Linked DNA regions of Astyanax mexicanus. The protein of the gene in region 2 interacts with the protein of the main gene of each other region in a pairwise test. Links are inferred from orthologs where the notes say so. Each region holds a gene or a part of one and is shown on either strand. Other genes may lie near its edges. The genes, in order: mob3c and zbtb10.

Region 1 (9,428 bases), on a different chromosome or scaffold from region 2:
ACAACTTTGCTCTTACCTGCAAAGAAACCAAATCTATGAGAAATTTCAATCTGGATTTAGGCCTCATCATAGCACTGAGACAGCTTTAGTTAAAATAACAAACGATCTAATTACAGCTGCCGACCAAGGCTGTGCTTCCCTACTTCCATACTGAATTAATGTTTTTTCCTTTAGATAAGGCTGCAGATTCAGGGGTTCATGGACAGAGGGAATTGTGGTAAACAGAGATGCTGGTGCTGTTGTTCTCCCACTGCACACGGTCACTCAGGTTTGTGGACGGTGGAGTGGGTGGATGCTGGTGTTTCAGGGTGCCTCCATGTCTATGTTACCTTTTGGCTCTCTGCCTTTAGTTAGGCTGTTTTATTCAGTTCTGCCGGAGTCATTTGCCACACTCTGATAATGTTTTATATTCTCAGTTTTGCATAAATCCAGTCAAAACTAATTCCATGCCTTCCTAATTTCTCTGCCTTCCTCCGAGTTACTGACTGCCCACCTGACTGACCCGATACCGATGTTGGACCCTCAGGCTCTCGCGTCTCCTGGCCGGCCAGACTGATGGAAGTTTCTGAAGTCAGCTCTTCTCCACCACCACCACAGATCAGCTGCTCATCGTCCATCTTATTCTCCACTACTGATTACATCCAAGCCATTAGTGGCGCTATTACACTCCTGAATACATAAAACCTATATGGATGTATAAAAGACTTTTTAAATTTTAATTGACCAGTGGTAGGATGGTCCCCCCTCAAATGTGAGTCTTGGTCCTCCCAAGGTTTCTTCCTCCTCCTGCAGCTCTGAGGGAGTTTTTCCTTGCCTCTGCGCTCACTGGGGGTTCTGTATTCTGTATTTTCTATGTTTAATGTTTTGCCTGATTCTTTGTCCTGTAATCATGTTTCTGTAAAGCTGCTTTGTGCCAACACCTGTTGTAAAAAGCGCTATACAAATAAATTTGGTTTGATTTGATATACTGATTTGTTTATACTCTTATTTTTGGTACCATTTTCTCTCTGTTTTTCACCACTTGCTTTGTTTTTGTGGGTCTGGCTGGATGAGATAACAGTCCTTTACTACACTGCTCACCATTCAATTCACAACCCTATTTTCCCCACATATCATTTTCTGTACTTCTGAAACTTTGCATGCATATTAGTATAACCAGGTCATATTGCTCTGCTGACCTGGAGTTAGCCCTTTCATTTTATAGAAGATAAAGCATTCAGCCCTTTCATTTAGCAGAAGATAAAGACGTAAATGCCACTGACCGCTGACTACCAGTGAAATTACCCTCTATCTGGACATCTGTGGGAAACTCATTTAAAATGACTGGAATTGAAACTTTTTTGTTTTCTGGGTCCTTGCCACGTCTCTTTTTCTAATGTGTTTTTCTCATTTGTTAGGTTTAGTCCAAAAAAGACCAGTCACCATGACCTAAAAAACACACATTCTGGTTCCCTAAAAGAACTTTCCGATAGAAAGTGGCAAAATACTTTCTTATTCACTGGTTTTCAATGGACATATTTTAGCTTTTACATTGTTGATTAATCTTGAAATCATCAAATAAAGAGACATATATGGAACAATGTAGTAAATAATCAAGTGTTTCACAAAGCCAAGAAAGGGTTTCATGCATTAGATTGTTCTAAGCCACATTTTGCTTTTATGACAAATTTGCAAACTCAAGCTTAGTGAAGTAATCAGATTGTGAGGTTGTCTTAGAATTGTCTCGGTTTTCCTTCACCCTGTGGTCCAAACCACCTCAGTTGGGTTTGTTTTTTTGTCTTTTTTTCCACAGAATAAAGATTCTCTAACAGTGGCATAATCTCACATTTATGTGTGATCTAGAAAAAAATAATTTCAATGTTACTGTAAATGATATGAGGCACCTATAAACAGACACCAATCAACATCCCATTCCATCATGTTCATGTCATGCACCACCTCACTCCACCCACCTTCCAGCTCCAGTTTCATTTCTAGATTATGCAATACTGGATTTACTTATCATTTTTTATTAAATTACTATGATCCATAACAGGTATAGAACAGCCAACAATGTAATGTATATATTTATATTTTATGAAAAATACATTTTGTCACATTGTGCTCGTAGCATTGAAATATGGAATAATAATGTAAATATCAGAAATACTATCTAACAGTGGGCCACAATAAACCATATGGTCCCTGTCCAATAAAAAAAACACACATCTCCAAAACAGCAACTTTACAGGAGAAAAAAAAACTTAAATTTCAATGGAATTCAATGTAAAAAGAATTAATTTTAGGTAATTTTGAATAATTTTTATTGGTCCATTCATCCAAAAAGTTTTACAGTGTAAGGGACAGTTTGATAGTTCACATTATGTAGTAAATTAAAACTTCACAAAAACGGAAATACTTAGTTTTCATTAGACAGAAAATATACATTATATTACATTAACATTTTCATAACATTTTTTTACTGTAAATGCTATAAATGTTTTTTTATAGACATTTATTTAAAATTAATGTTTGTTTGTTTTTTACAGTGCAATCCTGGCAACCACAGCTGCCAATCTTTTACTGAAAATTGTATGGATTTCTTTTTTAATCTGGAATTAAAAAAAAGAAAAAGAAAATAAAGAAAATTCAAGAAGGTGTGTTCAAACTTGGTGCTGATTACTACTGTTTCTAAGCCAATGCATATTTTCCATTATCAAAGCCAGTCCTTCAAACCTCCTCTAAATACCCGGAACACTGGTCTCACTCTTGTTTGTTTGAATTAAACTAAAGAGACCAACTCGGGCAGGGCAAGAAGAAGTTTAGAAACAGTTTAGAAAGCCCTCAAGCAGTGTAGTGAAGAACACTGCATGTCACCATGAAGGACACTATTGTGTTACTGTAACAAGACCGTTATGCTTCAGTCATAAAGCTCGGGAATAGGAATGAGAAAGTCTTCTATGCATGAGAGCATTCATTCATTCTCTGCAATGTATCGCTTCATATACAACAGAACAATAATTAAGACAAAAAGAAACATTAAGCAGACTGTATGTCCACAATAGTATCTTTATAGGAGAAGGCAAAACCTTTTTTTAATAGAAGTCAATGTAATCTCATTCAAATGTATTTTAAATGGATATACAGTATATTGACAACAACAGTTTTTTTTTAGAATATATTACATTGAAATGCTACAGTCTACCACGACTTCTGGGACTTTTTGAGCATTGAATGTGAATGGGAGTCATTCTGTATGCATGGACAATTCTAGCCAGATGCCGCCCATCACAATTATTACGACCCACTGTACTGTCCACTGTAGGTGGTAATATCTACCAGTAATACACATTCACTTGCCACTTAAATCTGCCTCACAAGGCAACACCTCACATCTTAAATTGATATCCCATGACTTTTGGCATGCCAGTGTATACATACATCCTGCAAAAAGGGTGTTTTTAAGGGTTCTTGAGTACAATTAGCAGTTCTCTGGGGAACCATAACAACACAAAATGCTTGGTTAAACCGATTGAACCTACGGTTGTAGATGGTTCTTTCACATGGAAAAATTATTTTATATAGCAACAAAATCAGTTCAATGGTTAGTAATAGTGACAATATATCCTTAATTTTAATGTACAGAACATACAGCATATAAAAATGTTATTCTGTATAAAATATACTTTTCTTTAGGGGGGGGGGGGGATCTTTAATGGATCTTTCATAAATACAATTGTTTTATATAGAAACTGAAATAACTATTTGAATGCTTAAATGGTTCTTAATAGTGGAAACCCTTTTGTAGTTTGTTCTCTTGATTAACATCTATTCTTTTTTTTGTTTTTGTTTTTTTGAGGTTGGTGGATCATATAATTTATTGGCACAATCTCAAGTATTCATGACCACACATTCAGGCTAGTTTTAAATTCTGTGAATAGATAGATATTAAAATAGATACTTTATTGATCCCAGACGGAAATTCTGAAGAAGAGGGAAATTGTGGATTAAAACATTAATTCTAGAGAAGAACAAGATAAAGCTAAAGCATTTATAAAGGTTCCAACATCAAACCATCTAAGGGAACTTTCATTCAAAGAGAAGCAGAGCAACAGAGAGAGAGAAAATTCCACCCAGCAGTACCTGGCCGAAGTCCCGTTTTGAATGCCTGGAATGCTGTGGGGATCTGTGGGAACGCTCAGGAGAATTTCACTGCCTCCACTTATCTCCCAGAGGACGTGGATCACGCTGGATTTCTCCTCTGAACAAACTCTGAGTCCTCTGCCACTCATCAGCAAACCCGAACGCTCAAAAAGTGCTGGAGAAAAAGCAAAACTGATCCACAAACCAAAAGAAAAGTTGTTTGGCTTCTCTTCCTGTGGTGATGTCACATCCTGATTTTGTCTGCTAGGCCCCACTGTCTCTGTCTATATGAGAGTGACTGTGTGTGTATGTGTGTGTGTGTGTGAGAGAGAGAGAGAGTGTGTGTACTAAGAGGCAAGCTAAAAGGGGATATTTCGTTGGCTGTGGGAGGGGCAGAGGCCTTTGAGGCACAGCCCTTATTTTCTTCCCTCCTCTTTCATCCCTCTCTCCTGCCCACAACCACTACCCATTCATTCTATACACGTGGACTGTATGGAGTCAATAAGCTATAATAACCCACAATAAAAATGCAGGCAGGACAATTAGACATTCTAGTCGTTGACCATATGCAGCATATTATCTTTGTCATAAACAATCTTATCAGAATATATGTCATAAACATAGACACATTAGGAACAACTATAAAGAGCTTGTACACGACATTAACCATATATTATCTTGCAAAATAATCCAACTTCCTTAAATGTAAGACTGAAGTATGCTGCTGGCTTAGGTACTTTGTTGGAAACCCCTTTTGCTGCAATAATAGCTTAAAGTATGTAAATAAAAAAATACATTTCTGATGGCTTAGCAGAATAAGGACGATTTTCACCTGTTTTTTACTAGTACACATGCTCCAGGTTGTTCTGATTGGTTGGGGTCCATACTGGTTAAATACTACCCCTGACTCTTAGTTAGGTTGATATCTCAAATTTGATATTATACCACAGTTAGTTCTGACCCAGTAATGTAATTGGCCGAGGGGCTTTTATGAGTGACATTATTAGCCGGTAATGCACTGTAACCAAAGCTCTCCATGTACTACATGGAGAGTAACCTACACACATACAGGTAACCTAGCAACGATTCTGATTCCTTTGACTTTGCACCATCTTTACAATATATCCCCACAAAATTATGCTGCCACCACACTTCCCTTTTAGATGTTGAGTGTTAATAAATGGGCAGTAAATGTTGGCCAGAAGTCATTAAACCTCCTAATTTTTAATAAGAGGTGGGTTGTGGGTTAGTGAGTTGCTCTAAAACTGTAGGACAAACTCCAGATGCAGATCTGATGTGTTATTTCTTTAGTAATGGCTTTATTTTAGCTCCCAAACAATACTCTATACATACTAGTGCACCTTCACGCCAGTCTCATTCATAATAAATGTATTGCAAATGGAAATTCTCTTAAAACTCAAATAAAAATCTAATATTTTTTTCAAATAAAATTTTAGTCTTTGCTCATATCTAATAGTTTCATTTTTGAAGGATCCAAGGATTTTTTTTTTGTCATTTCACATCACGTGTGGAACATGAGGTGAAACGAAATTGTATTTCCACGGTCCAATTTACACTCAAAGAGTAATTATTCAAATAGATAAATATAAAGACAAAATAATATAGAATAAAAATATGGACCCAAGCAAATGGGGTAGGCAACAGTGTGTAGTGTATAGGTCAGCAAAGGCAAAATATATTTTATATCGGTAAATACATTGCCATTGAATAAAATGACAGCAGTTATTAATAGTGTGTGTTTTCTAGACTTTTTATAGGCAGTGTCTGTTGCTATATGCTGTCCCAAGAACAATTTTCATTTTGTGAAAACACTGAAAACCTTTCATACATAAACTTCACACCATTTAAAAACTTATCTAAACGAGTTCTCAAAATGGACAAACCAACAAATAACCAACAGAGGGGAACATTTCATCTTTTTTTTTTTTTATGTAACAGTTGAATTAAGCAGACATATGGAAAATTCTGTGGAATTCCATTTAAAGTTTGGGCTTGCAACTTGGATAGAAGTGTACAACTAAGTTTCACACGATACACTGTGTGAAAGTGAAGTAAGTAAAACTACATTTTACATAGTACGCCAGTCCTGTATTATAACTGTATGGAAAGTATGTGGATAAATTGGAGGCAAGCTCGACTTGCATAAGAAAACACAAAACTGAACATTCCAGCTCACGCTCCACAACTGTTTACCATCCGTGAAAGATGTTGGACTTGTTTTGTTGTGGTTGTGTGCATATTTCTATTTAATGAATTATGAAGAGTGTATTACTGCAATTTACAGACTGTGGACATCAAGTCAATTCTGTTTATCCTGCAGCACCAGTTCTACTTAGCAAAAACAGCCCACCACACAATTCACATTCCAGACCAAAAGAAAGGATTTTGATACACTGATTGCAGTGTAGAAGAATCACTTTTGGTGCCCCAAAGCCCCAAAAAACTTGCCAATAGATTGTTGGTTAATAAACTAAAATTAAATAAACTGTAAAGATATCTATATAGACCCAATGCTTCTTCACATGTCTAACAATTTTCGAACCCATATGTTTATAACTGTAAAAAGTCCATGAGGAGTTTAATCAACAAGTTACACAACTGTAAAAAGTCTTAATAAATATTTAAGAAAATTTCTTTGCTGTTGCACTTCTATAGCAAATAAATCCAATTAATATATATATTTTTTTAGAATAAGGCAACTTTTAACTTTGAAGTGTGTAATAATTTATTATGTTCTGGGAATAAACTTTAGTTTCTGTATCAGTTTCTTTGATTTTGCTATTTATAGGTATATGTTTGAGTAAAATAAACATTGTTGTTTTATTCTATGAACTACGGACAACATTTCTCCCAAATTCCAAATAAAAATATTGTCATTTAGAGGATTTATTTGCACAAAATAGGTACTTTCAGACCTAAAATAATGCAAAGAAAACTAGTTTATAATAAAGTTTTAAGAGCTCAGAAATCAATATTTGGTGGAATAACACTGGTTTTTAATCACAGTTTTTATGCATCTTGTCATGTTCTCCTCCAACAGTCTTACACTGGATAACTTTATGCCTTTACTCCTGGTGCAACAATTCAAGCAGTTTAGCTTGGTTTGATGGCTTGTGATACATCTTCTTCTTGATTATACTCCAGAGATTTTCATTTTGGCAAAATCAAAGAAACTCTTTGAAACAAATACAAAAGTGAACAGAAACGGAAAAACACTTTTGGCTGTTGTAGTTTAATTCATATAGAATTTCTAATTTTATGGTATTAACTGCCTATTTGCTGGCTTTAAATTATAAGATGAATATTATACAGCAGCATTGAATAAAACAAATAAAACTGCTGTGCTGTTTATAATATTTCTATGAACACAGCATTTATGCAGTGTCTTTTATGCACACATTTAATGCACTGTTATTAAAAAAAAATAAAAATTGTTACATTTTTTTAACATAATCTAAATCTTAAAACTGTTTGTGGTACATGGGTATGTCAATGGATCAAAATAAATAGTAAAGAATTACCTGGATTAAATCTTTTTCCACTGATTTCTATTAAAAGTTGATTTTTTTCCCCTTTACCTTGTAAAATTGCCATTTTGGAGAAACAGGATATTTATATGACATTGATTAAATTTAAGTTAGCATTGAAAAAATTAACAGAAGTTTATATGGTAAGTAAAAAACTGCAGGCTTTAGGCGGTGTGTTTAGAGACATCTGCAAATTCCACACCTTCTAAAAAAAGATCATCTAACTCGGCTCTCAAAATGACTGTGTGTTTGCTGTCAAGAGGCCAAACCAACAGAGGGGGACATTTCATCTCCAAACCGAAAGCAGATTGCAATCAGTGGGACTGGCTTTTAATCTAGTTCATATTGTACTGTCTTTGTTGTCCTTTTATAAGAATTTAGGTTTACAATGGAGAGTGAACACAGAGGGAAACAGAGGAAAGGTTTGAGGATAAGAAAGTACAAAAATATATAAGAAAGAAAGAAAACAGAAATGTGTGAAGAAAGTCAAAGAAAACAACAGTGTAGAAAGAAACAGTGTAGATAAGTGACTTTTTTACAGTCTGTTACACACTGTTGCCTAGTTTTACAGTCAGATTAATTTTAGTCAGATTAGTTTTGTTCTGAGCAGTTAGCTCTGATATGACTGTTTCATTTTCTCGCAACACAGGAAGTAAAACTGGCCAAACCTTCAACACCCCCACTACACTCTTCACACCAGTAACCTTTCCTGTAGCCGTGTTTGATCCCTGACCTACTGAGCAGAAAAAGAGAAGAGTTTAACACATGACCACACCACAGAACATACAGCTTTAACAGCAAGAACTTACAGCGAGTGAAAATGAAACCTCGCTCTCAAGAACAGAACTCCAAAATGAACTTAATCATCTGTGTTAGCATAATAATAACCACTATTTCCACTATTTTGTGGTTAGTTAAATGGTATCTGAGTATTATCACTTTTACTAAAATGTTCTGAGACTGTACGTAAATACAACAAATAGCAAGTCATACAAAAACCCATGACCCTGTGATTCATAAGCAATAGAACACAATCAGGGATTGGCTTCAGGTGGATGACTGACAGCTTTAAAATCATAAGTAAGGATGAGCTTGACAATTTCTAGATGCTTTGGCTTTGGATCAAGAAACATGAAAAAAAAAAACCTAGAGCCAACATGGGACCTGTGTGAATGTAAAAAAGGATTATTTTTAACTGACAGGGGGCAGCACGTACAGTATAGTGTGGAGCTTTATAATGATGAGTTACATTAATTACAATTATAAATAACCCATAGAATACAATGTTATTCGAAAATAAAACTATACCTATTGAGCAAAGACACGTCCAAATAATGGCATTTTAATGTCAACGTTGAACGTTTAAAAGAGGGCCACAGATAATGAAGAATCAAATGTCCAAATTCAATTTTAAAAAGACAGTTTTTTAAGTCTATAATGAATTTTCAAAATATTCTTTTAAACATTCAGTCAGAGTTGCCAGGTCCAGCAATAATCTTGCCCAAGGTCTGTCAAAACCGCTCCCATCAGAAGTTTAAACAAGCTCGATATCTAAGGTTGCCACAGACTTTCACAACACAGTACATTTTCATTTTGAACGTTGTGCAATGAAGGCTTTTTTTCAGCTGTGATGAATATAAAAGTAGGCCCAAAACCAAAACATCCTGTGAATTTAAATTTTTTACACTTTATATTTTTTACAATTTGGTCGTGACATGCTTTGTACTTTTATACAGTGATGTCGACCATCAAAATGTC
Region 2 (9,805 bases):
ACTATCTCAACCCCCCTTATCAATGGGGCTGAGAGTGTCCCCCCAGACTGGGACAGCAGTTTTGTTTTCTCTGTGCATACCCAACCCTGGGCCAGCCTACCCCTGAGGCCAGAGCTGGGTCCCCTCACCCAGCCCGTCTCACAGATGCACGAACAATGTAGCAGTGTGCTTGACCCAAGGTGTGGGTGGAGAACACCAGGCTCTGGGCCTCCCAACAATGTGGAGAGCTCATCGATGGAGAATTCCAGAGTTCTTCCCCCCAATACACACAGGCCTACATTTCACAAGAGGCAGACAGGGGTTGGGTGGAGCTTCTGTCTCTTCTAAAGCCTCCCTAACAAGAGAAGCAAGGGATGGCAACTTTGAGGACAAAGGCTAGACTCAAGAGCGAAACAACCCAGATACCCCCTATTTGGTTAATTGAGTTACGACCACTGCTCCAACCAGACCTGGACAGGCAAAGATAGTCTGACCTATTGTCTCTGACACTAGGATGATCAGTATAACACACCAGCACAATTATAAAACTCACTTAAGGACTCACGAGCATGCTGAAGAGGTTCTCTTGTTTATTGTTTTTCTAAGAAAAGACATCCTAAACACCACCCTGCACTAATTTACCCCTTTTAAAACCATAGCATTAGCTTACCTTTCCTACGCCTGCCTGAACTGCTCACACTCCTAAAGGCTTTCCTAACTGGCCCAATGACAATTACAATGCAAAAGTAAATATTAAAGCAACTGCGGGTAGCTGTAAGATATCATGATAGATGTTTAAAACAAACACTCCTGCAGAGAAAAGGGAGTTGTGCCAGGGCTGATACTAATCTAAAACAGCGTCTTAACCCTTCTGTTGCTAGGGAGGAGCCCATAATCCCTCCTACTGCTTTCCTCCCTAATTAGTGAAGGGTATAAATTGAGTTAGAGGAACGCTTTAAGTCATCCTGATTAGTATGAACAACTGGCTGCACTCGCAAGGCTATCCTCAGGGATTTTATTAACAAACGAATCAAATTCAGTACGGACGGCCATATATTCAGAGATTCGAGTCGCATGTAGAATTTAAACACATTCCGATCCACCATTCAGAAAGCATGGACAACAGTTTGTCAAGCATTTATTGACAATTTCCTGCTACAGGGCTGAAGGCTCTTCTGAATAATGTGAATAATGGGGTCCAAACGAGGACATAGATTAAAGATTCATTATAAAGCGCTAGGCCTCACCACAGCTCCAAACATACTATCTGAAAATGATCACAGGCACACTATTGATCTCACTTCAATACTGGGTTGAGGAGGGGGGGCACGAGGTCATAGGGTCACATGCTAAATTTATTTATACTTGCCCTCATAGTGATCGGCCAGGTGCATGTCGCACAACGGGCATAGCAGTCACAGGACACTACTCGATTTAGGGGGATTTTGTGTGGACAAGCCGGGTGACGAATCAGCCCTGGATCTTTGAGATGGACCTAAAACAATGCCTTTGATTTAGGAGCCCTAAAGGGGAAGATGAGATGTGCCAGAGGTCACTTTTACAGCCAGGGAACAGAGGGGGGGTTGGGCTGGGCTGGGGCTCCCCAAAGCCTGCTGGTCGAGCTTCTGCCATCACCACGACCTCCCTGGTAATCAACTCAGGTTGCCAAGGCAACTAAGGTTGATAATTGCAGTGCAATGCATGCATGGAGTAAACTGGTCCAATACAAAGGAGGGGAAGTGCACACACCCTTAGCTCTAAACCCAGATTAAAGGGGTTACGCTCAAATGTGACACATAATTCAGTCGGGTGTCCTTTATAAAAAGACAGTTTTTTTTACAGGTTATCTTTAAACAAACCAAGACTATAAAGGATATGTTTATATTTAAGAACTATTCCATTATTTAAGCTGTCATAAGGTTAATATCAAAATGTACAAGACAGAGTGAAAAGTTAATTATAATTACACCTAGGGCTTTACAATATGGATGAAACTAATGTCACATTGACTCATTTTGGTTGATGCAATATCATCCTGATAACAATATGAAAAACTGCTAAGAAAGCCCACAAAAATGAATCTGTCTGTTCTTGTAATATACACTGTAACGTTAATGAATGTCACTCATTGAAATATGCTGTAAATAACGTAGTGAACACTGGAATATTAAAAATGTTTTTTTAATCATACAACCGTTACTTAAACATTTTATATCGTGATATATGAGGATACTGAATTATTGTCCAGCCCTAGTTACACTAACTTACAGTTTAAAACGTAAAGTAGCTAACTAGATATATAGTTAGGTAACTAGACATATAACCTAGCCAGGTTACACGGCTATCAAATATTTTCTAATATTATCGTAACGTTAGACACTAACCTAGCTAACCTACCTTTAAGATAGTTTATTAAAGAGTTTAGCTCACTCTCTGTAACCGTTTAATCCTCACACAGTTTTTAAAGAAGTCAGTAGCCAAATTCCCAGTAACGTATATGTGAACAGCGCTGAAAAGAGACGATTTGAAGACTGTATTCAACTGTCACTGATAAAAATCACAAAGCCAGCTAGCTGGTTTCTCAGGACTGGGAGTGAGCCAGGAAGCAAGCTAGCTAGCGGTTAGCTCGTGTGGTACAAACCCTAGGCTAGGTCAGCTAGCTAGCAACGTTACAATCAGCAGCGGTAGGCTAGTTAGCTTAGCATCTACCTAGCTGGCTAACCTTGCTAGCTAATGGTCTATAGCAGCTCATACTGGTCGAGGAAGACGACAATATTAAAAAGGTTGACCAAATATCCAATATAGCCAAATGTATTAAAGTTTTAATCATATTTTTACAGTATCCTGAGAACGTCCTGGGACCCTGCTAACGTTGACAAGCCCAAACTCAAAAGCTCCGTCCGTGTCGGGAGTAACTTTACCTGTTTGGTCGGGTCGTTCCTGCCGTGCTCCGAGGACAGGTGATGTCTCAGCAGCAAGGCCCGCTTGTAGTTTCGGCTGCCTTTCACCAGCTCGTCGCTGTTGTTAGTGGCAATGTTGTGACACCAAGAGCAAGACATGAGTCCCGACTCTCGATTAAATTTTAGCCAAGGAAACTCCTGCAGCCAGGAGGCTTGGAAAAGCGAGTGTTTCTGGAGCAGCGTCTGCGGTCTCATCTCTACCCAGGGCTTCCTGGCGCCCGCTTCTTCCCGGTCCCCGCCGCTCCCTGCTTCGCCTCGGTCTCGGTCGTCCTCGGAGCCGGTGGCAGCGCCGCTGCCCGCGCCGTCCTCGCTGTTAACGCCGTTGCCTGTCGTCCAGCTCTCGCCCTCCTCCCCCGCGACGTTCGCGTTAGCCGTCCAGCCGATGCTGTCAACGCCTTTACCGACTGTCCATCGACCCCCTTCCGGATCTTCCTCCTCCTCTGCCTCCGGCTCTGTGCTGTCGCTGACGGACCCCCCGCCCTCCACTTTCCCCGGCGACGGTCCTTTCGCTCCCAGATCCCTGTCCTCCTCCTGATCCGGCCTGTTCCCGTTTAAATGCCGATCTTGCCAGGCCTGGGCCTCCCAGCTGTTACCGTTGCTGCCTCGGACACCACTGGAGCCGGTCACGGCTGATCCACCTCCTCGGAAAGCCAGCGACCTGCGGTTTCGTTCTCCGGACATTTTTCCTCAATAAATTAGAACCTACTTTCCCAACGATCTTTATCAATATAATTTACTTTCAGCCCGGCGAAACACGATTACAAATAATCGTTGTTTAAAATGAAATATTCCGCATCGAAATGTTGTGTTTTTTCGCGCTTTGGCCTCCCGGGGAGAGTATGTAGGTTATGCGGAAATAAATAAGGGTTTTAAAGGCATAATGAATTTGAGGGTTTCTGGCTCCGTCCGCGCAGGCCCCGCAGAGGTCGAATGGCAACGACTTTCCCCACAATGCACCTCGCTTCGAGTGAGGGGGGTCGTGGGGCACTTAAAGGAGGATGGGTGGGGGGGTAACTAGAACAGCGAGGGGGGCATTTGTGTTCGCCGAGCGCACCCACAGCTCCCTCCCCGAGCACGCGTTTCATCTTTGGGAGTCGCTTGTCTTGAACTAATAAGTGTGTTGTCCGCCGGGGAGCGGCGTTACTGACTCACTGCGCCGTGTTTGTTTTTAACACAGAGGGAAGAAAAGCAAAGGACAGGTGAGGGGAGAAGCGAGCAGAGCGCAGGGCTTAGTGCACTGTGTTTATTCTTACAGGTAGTGACAGAGGGGACTTTTTGCTCCCTCCCCCTCCCCAAATAAATAAAAAAATAGTATATACTATATAAAAGTGACTTTTGAAAAAAGTGAATTATGAAAAAAGAACAATGCAACACGTACGCACAGCCTATGGATATGGATAAACAGGGGTATATATGTTTTAAAATACACGTCTTAATTAAATTTAAATGTAAAAAATATATAAAAAAATAAATAATTTGAAGTTATTTTGTCATAATACGTTTTATAGGCTGTTGTGGCAATTTGTATTTTACCTAGTCGTGTATGTAGAAATAAAAGTACGTATCTGTATAAATGAATAATTCCTGAATTAATTGTAAGCGCTAATAAATGTTTTTTGTGGAATTGAAACCGTCAGTTTAGTACTTGTTTAGTATGTCACCCAGCAGGTGTCGGGCTTTCCTCTATACAGCATCAGCTCGGTCACAGCTGCGGTTATTACAGAGCCACCGTGCCCACTGTAGGAGGGTACACACACTGATATATAGTTCCTAGTAAATCGAGTTTTTATTTAAATATCTAAAAACCATATATCCAACAAGTATGCTCTCTTAAACACTGTAACACATTATATATTAATATTAAAAACTGCACAGATTTTTGTTAAAACAGTATAAAAAGAGCAACGACATGCCATATTAATTTAAATTAATGGAATAAATGTATGCACACAATCACTCATTTATTGTTTTCTTCATTAATCAACTCATCCCCAACACTTCAAATCATCAAAAATGAGTGGAACAATGTGAAGTGCCAACTTAAAGTGTCTGGATGCACTTATTAGATTTTTTTTCAAACATTTGGAAATATTGCATATTTTATAACATATACAAATTGGTCTTTGCACGGGCCAAAATTAGAGTAAAAAAGGCAATGCCTGATCACCCAAGTTATGTAGTGATAATCAGAAATAGGCAACCTTCTTCTGTTGTTTAAATACACATTTGTGTTTATTATTTAGAATAACTATTTCTCTTGTCCCTCCTTGAACAATTTTAACACTTAAAATAATATTATTTTGAATCTTTTAAATGTGAGTGCAGCCACCCCCCTGGTCAGAGTTGTAAATTACTAATTAAGACAGGTTTGTACACTTGGCTTGTCACTCTATTACTGTACTTGTAAGCAGATGTTTAAGTGTCAGGTTGATGAAAGAACATGTAAGAGAGCTTGAATGATTGGGGCATTTCAGTGTTTTGCCTAAAGCCCCAAAAGTGACTATATCCACCCAGATCGACAGACAGATAGATTAGAAGACTCCTGAGGTCTGATGAAAGCAGCTTCCTCGACGATACGACGAACATAATTTTTCGAGCCTGAAGGTGAAAATAAAGAGTTTAAGCCTTTGTAACAAGATTATTTTCGTGCCGTAGCGCCACCTATCGACTCAAGTGCACTAAAATATATATGTGGGCTCACCACACCCTTTAAGAACACAGAGTTTAGACAGCTCTCTTTCGTTCTCTCGCTGTTTATCTCTGTTGCCCACTCTTGTCCTCTAACCGTTTTTGGGGTGTGGCAGCGGGAATTACCATTAATTTACCATTAAATACCAGAAACTTTTTAAAACCTTTTCTGAAAACGTGCAAATTAAAATGCAGATTAGTTAAACACTGCTGATAGCCCAAGTGACTTCTGCGTGCCTAAAAACAGTGCAATCAAGAAAATTTGAGATTCTACCTCCTGTCATTTTTTGCATCGTGTTTTCTCACAGAGCCCCCTGTGCACTCTTTAGAAGATTTTTTTCCCTCGGAATCAAGGGGTTGGATTTCATGATATGGAGTTTCAAAATGTGACGATAGATTTCCTGTAAGTTCGTGTGGCAAAAGTTCACGTTCATTAAAAACATTAATTGTTGCAATGCAAGCAGACAATAAACGTTTACTAATTATTATTATTATTATTATTATTATTATTATTATTATTATTATTGTTGTTGTTGTTAACCAAATTATTAATGTTTCTCATTTACTAGTTTGTTTTCCTTATTCAAAAAATGTCCATTGAACCGAAATTAATATTGCATTGTTCTCTATAGAGTAATGATCATTATAACCTGTAAATGTATGTGTGCATATTATTATTATTATTATTATTATTATTATTATTATTATTATTATTATTATTATTATTATTATTATTATTATTATTATTTGCACGCCGCACTGAGGTGTGTGTGACCACGTGCCCGTTTCTTTTTGTTTACATGCGTGCGTGCTCTGCGTGATGACGCCACGCGCGGCCCCACCTCAGCAGTTTGCAGCGCGTGAAGCTCCAAACTCCTCGCCTGGAGAAGAGAATCAGCGAAGAGGAGAAACCGGCTCCAACAGCAGCGCTTCACAGCAGCATGGAGGAATCAGAGCAGGGTAAGTTACAGAAAGTTGACTTGTGAAGATATTAATGCGCAGTTTATCCCGGGAGACACTGTTAAAACAGCTGTTATCTCCTGTTTCTGTCTGTCTGAAGTTAGCTGAGGTGGGCTAGCTAGGTCAGGTCGTAGCCATAACTGGCTAATGGACCCCTGTTGCTAAGTTTTCTGCTGGAGACTATAAAGAAAACATTATAGAAAGTGCATTTCTTCAGGACCTGTGAAATGTTCCTAGAAATGTGCCATGTTTTGTTAAAGTACGGAGCAATAACAAAGAAGGAAGTTTCAAAACTCTTTTTGTCTGTTTGACAAGATTTTTTAGATACTTCAGAGCAAATAACGCTTATCTTTTGCTGGATAGAGTTAGCATCACAGCTTAAAATACTTATTTTTTAAAAGATATGAAACGAATTGTTCACTTTTTGTTTAATAGTTTAATCATGTTTAATCAATTCACTGCAGCCTGCAACCATATGTTACGTCCGTTCTATTATTTCATAAGGGTCCTTTGGTAGCTAGCTTAGTTATTTTCTTTTATGAATTGACAAATTTGGCATATCATTCACGAAGTAATTAGTTTAACTAATGTCTGTTTTTTTAGCTTCATAACTGTTGTGCCTTATTTAGAAACGGTGCATTTAACTGGAACTACCACTGCAGATGTTCTAACATACATACAGTATGTGATCATAAAACTGTCATATGGTGTGTGTGTGTGTGTGTTTGTGTGTGTTTGTGTTTGTGTGTGTTTGTGTTTGTGTGTGTGTGTGTGTGTGTGTGTGTGTGTGTGTAACTGATGCTGTCTGAATTTTGTGTTAATCACTGAAGTATCTGAAAATCCAGTTTTGCAATAACAGGAGCTCAGACTGAGATTATCTCAAGGGATGGTTTGAATTGCCTCTTATGGGGTTTTCTTGTGTTAAAAGTCTCAGATTACATTACAGGCACCGATTCTGTTGCCACTAAGTGGTACAAATGTAACTTGGTTTGGGTTTGTGTAATCTGTATTTAATGATTAATATTTCTGATTTATTTCATAATTGATAATGTAAGGCAGTCATGGGCTGTCTAGAAGAGTAAGGACTTTTAGTAAGCCATTTAGATTAAAGATAATTTGCTTTTATTTTTGCATTTCCTGGGACCTTTCTCTCCTGCTGCTACTTTTATTATAAAATTGATCACATTCATTGCTGAATAATTGAATTTATGTCTGGTAAATGAAGTGCTGTGGCCTTCTGCTTTTGTGCCCTTTTGTTTATCCCTTTGAATACAGATTGTGTTTCCTGTTGAAAGTTGCATATTTCTGATGCTCTCTTATAGACAGAAATTCTGTTTCATATGATTGCAGTATCTCTGAATTTGTGGTTACAATATCCTTAACTGGGTGTCAGATTTAGGGAGAGCAATATAAAATAACAATAATAAGTATTTATACCACAAAAGATATTAATACTTAAATAACTCAGATTAACTGTCTGTTTAATTTAATAGTGTAATTAGTGTGGGAGGACATATTGATATTTTATGGGGGGGGGGGGGGGGTTGTAACAAAATTACAACCCTTAACCAACAGGCCCCACCTGAGGCCTACATGTAAGCCTAGCAGTGCATTTAGTCTGTTCACTAACTCAATATGTAGAACACAATCCAACTGTAGCCTGTATTGTTTTGAGGAACAGGTGGATGTTTCCTGTCTTGTTTGTTAGGCTGGATGATAAATGATCTTTCCTGGTGTGCTGATAATGCTGTCCTAAAGTGTTGCTTATGATAAATTATGAAATATGAAACTGTTTTATGGAGATAATTGTATTTTCAGCAGTTAGAATCATTACGTCACAGCAAGCATCATACTTGGTTCTCTTTTCACCTTTTTTCTGTCCCACTCTACTCTTCGCTCCTCAGGAGGCAGCTTATCATCATTCCTGTTAGGTGGCGGAGGTCCGGTGAGCAGCCAAAGCCCTCCTGTGAGGCTCTCATGCAGGGAAGCCATCTGTCCATTCCTTGTCTTTTTGCATACTCACATCTCCCTGCAGCTTCTGCCACAGGACCACAGAGTTATTTTTAGAGCAGACTGCAGGATGGAGGCTGAGACACCTATTAGTTGTCTGCTGTATAGGAGGTATTTAGGTATACATGTCACCATTGAGACATTTGCTCTAAAGGGAAGCTTGTGTTCATGGCTTGAACTGTTTGTAGAAAATAGCATATCCTATTATTGACTGTTATATCTATATCCTGCTGGTAATGCACAATATTTTTTGTCATAATGTTAAATATATAGAATATCTTTATATTTACTGTAAACTGTGCACTCAGGGTGCACAAGTTCATTAATGCAAGCACATTGCTGATATAGATGTGCAAATGATTCATGCACACAGCTTGTCTAGTCCCTGTAGGGAAATACTGCCATTACAATAGTACTCCTTGGAACATGTAAGCCCAAACAGATATGGCACCTTGTTTTGGGCTTGAGGGGTATAAAGCTCACCAGCATTGACCTGAGGAGCAGTGGATTGGTGTTTAATACCCCCTTATTAATAAACCATGAATAAGCATGTGTCCCGTTACTTTTGTCCATGTACTGTAGATACAGGACTGTTATATGGAATTGTCTGGGGCCAGAATGGGACAGTTGTTAATGCCAGTAATATTATGAGGCCACAAACATGTTCACAGGTGTTTAGTATTGTTTTTTTAAGTATGTTTAAGGCAAAGCAAAACACCCCTCTCTGTGTGTTTTGACCCCTCATTCATTACCAGCTCCATCACCTAAAATGTTCCAGTCCATCCCAATACTTTCCAGACTGCTCCATAGTCGTTAAACTTCATATAAGCTGTACCTGGGGCTCTTCCTGGACTTGCATGTGTGTCATGCATTGTTTCTTTCTGTTTTTCTACAGCAGCAGATGCAATGTTTCAGTGTATGCAATGCAGTGTGTAATAGGTGGCTAAAATTTTAAATCATACCAGAATAAAGGTAATACCATATTATTTATTTTCAATAAATACCTTTTGCTAAATCAGAACTACAGGTAAAATATCCTTTTTTCAGGCTAATCGCAAGCATCAGTTTTAATTTTCTGAGGAAATTAAAATCTGTTCACTGCACACTATTTGGGGACACTGTACCCGTATCTATAGTTTGTAAATTTGCGCTGTACATTACTCGTCATGGGAGCGACAGGTCAACCATAAAAGTTTGCTTTGGTACTC

What was found.
Region 1: the proteins of zbtb10 (region 2) and mob3c interact in binary tests that used the Homo sapiens proteins (3 or more experiments, as listed by UniProt). The link is inferred for Astyanax mexicanus from reciprocal best matches to the Homo sapiens genes ZBTB10 and MOB3C.

What each region holds. Positions count from the first base shown.
Region 1 is NC_064423.1:17,538,424-17,547,851, reverse strand, and holds the start of mob3c (MOB kinase activator 3C), read right to left. Parts: upstream 4,487-9,428; 5' UTR 4,123-4,486; intron 1-4,122. UniProt on the Homo sapiens protein: May regulate the activity of kinases.
Region 2 is NC_064410.1:44,215,331-44,225,135, reverse strand, and holds the start of zbtb10 (zinc finger and BTB domain-containing protein 10), read right to left. Parts: upstream 3,997-9,805; 5' UTR 3,621-3,996; coding exon 2,901-3,620; intron 1-2,900. Other genes in the region: tpd52 (tumor protein D52), read left to right, coding at 5,999-6,030, 6,475-6,587. UniProt on the Homo sapiens protein: May be involved in transcriptional regulation.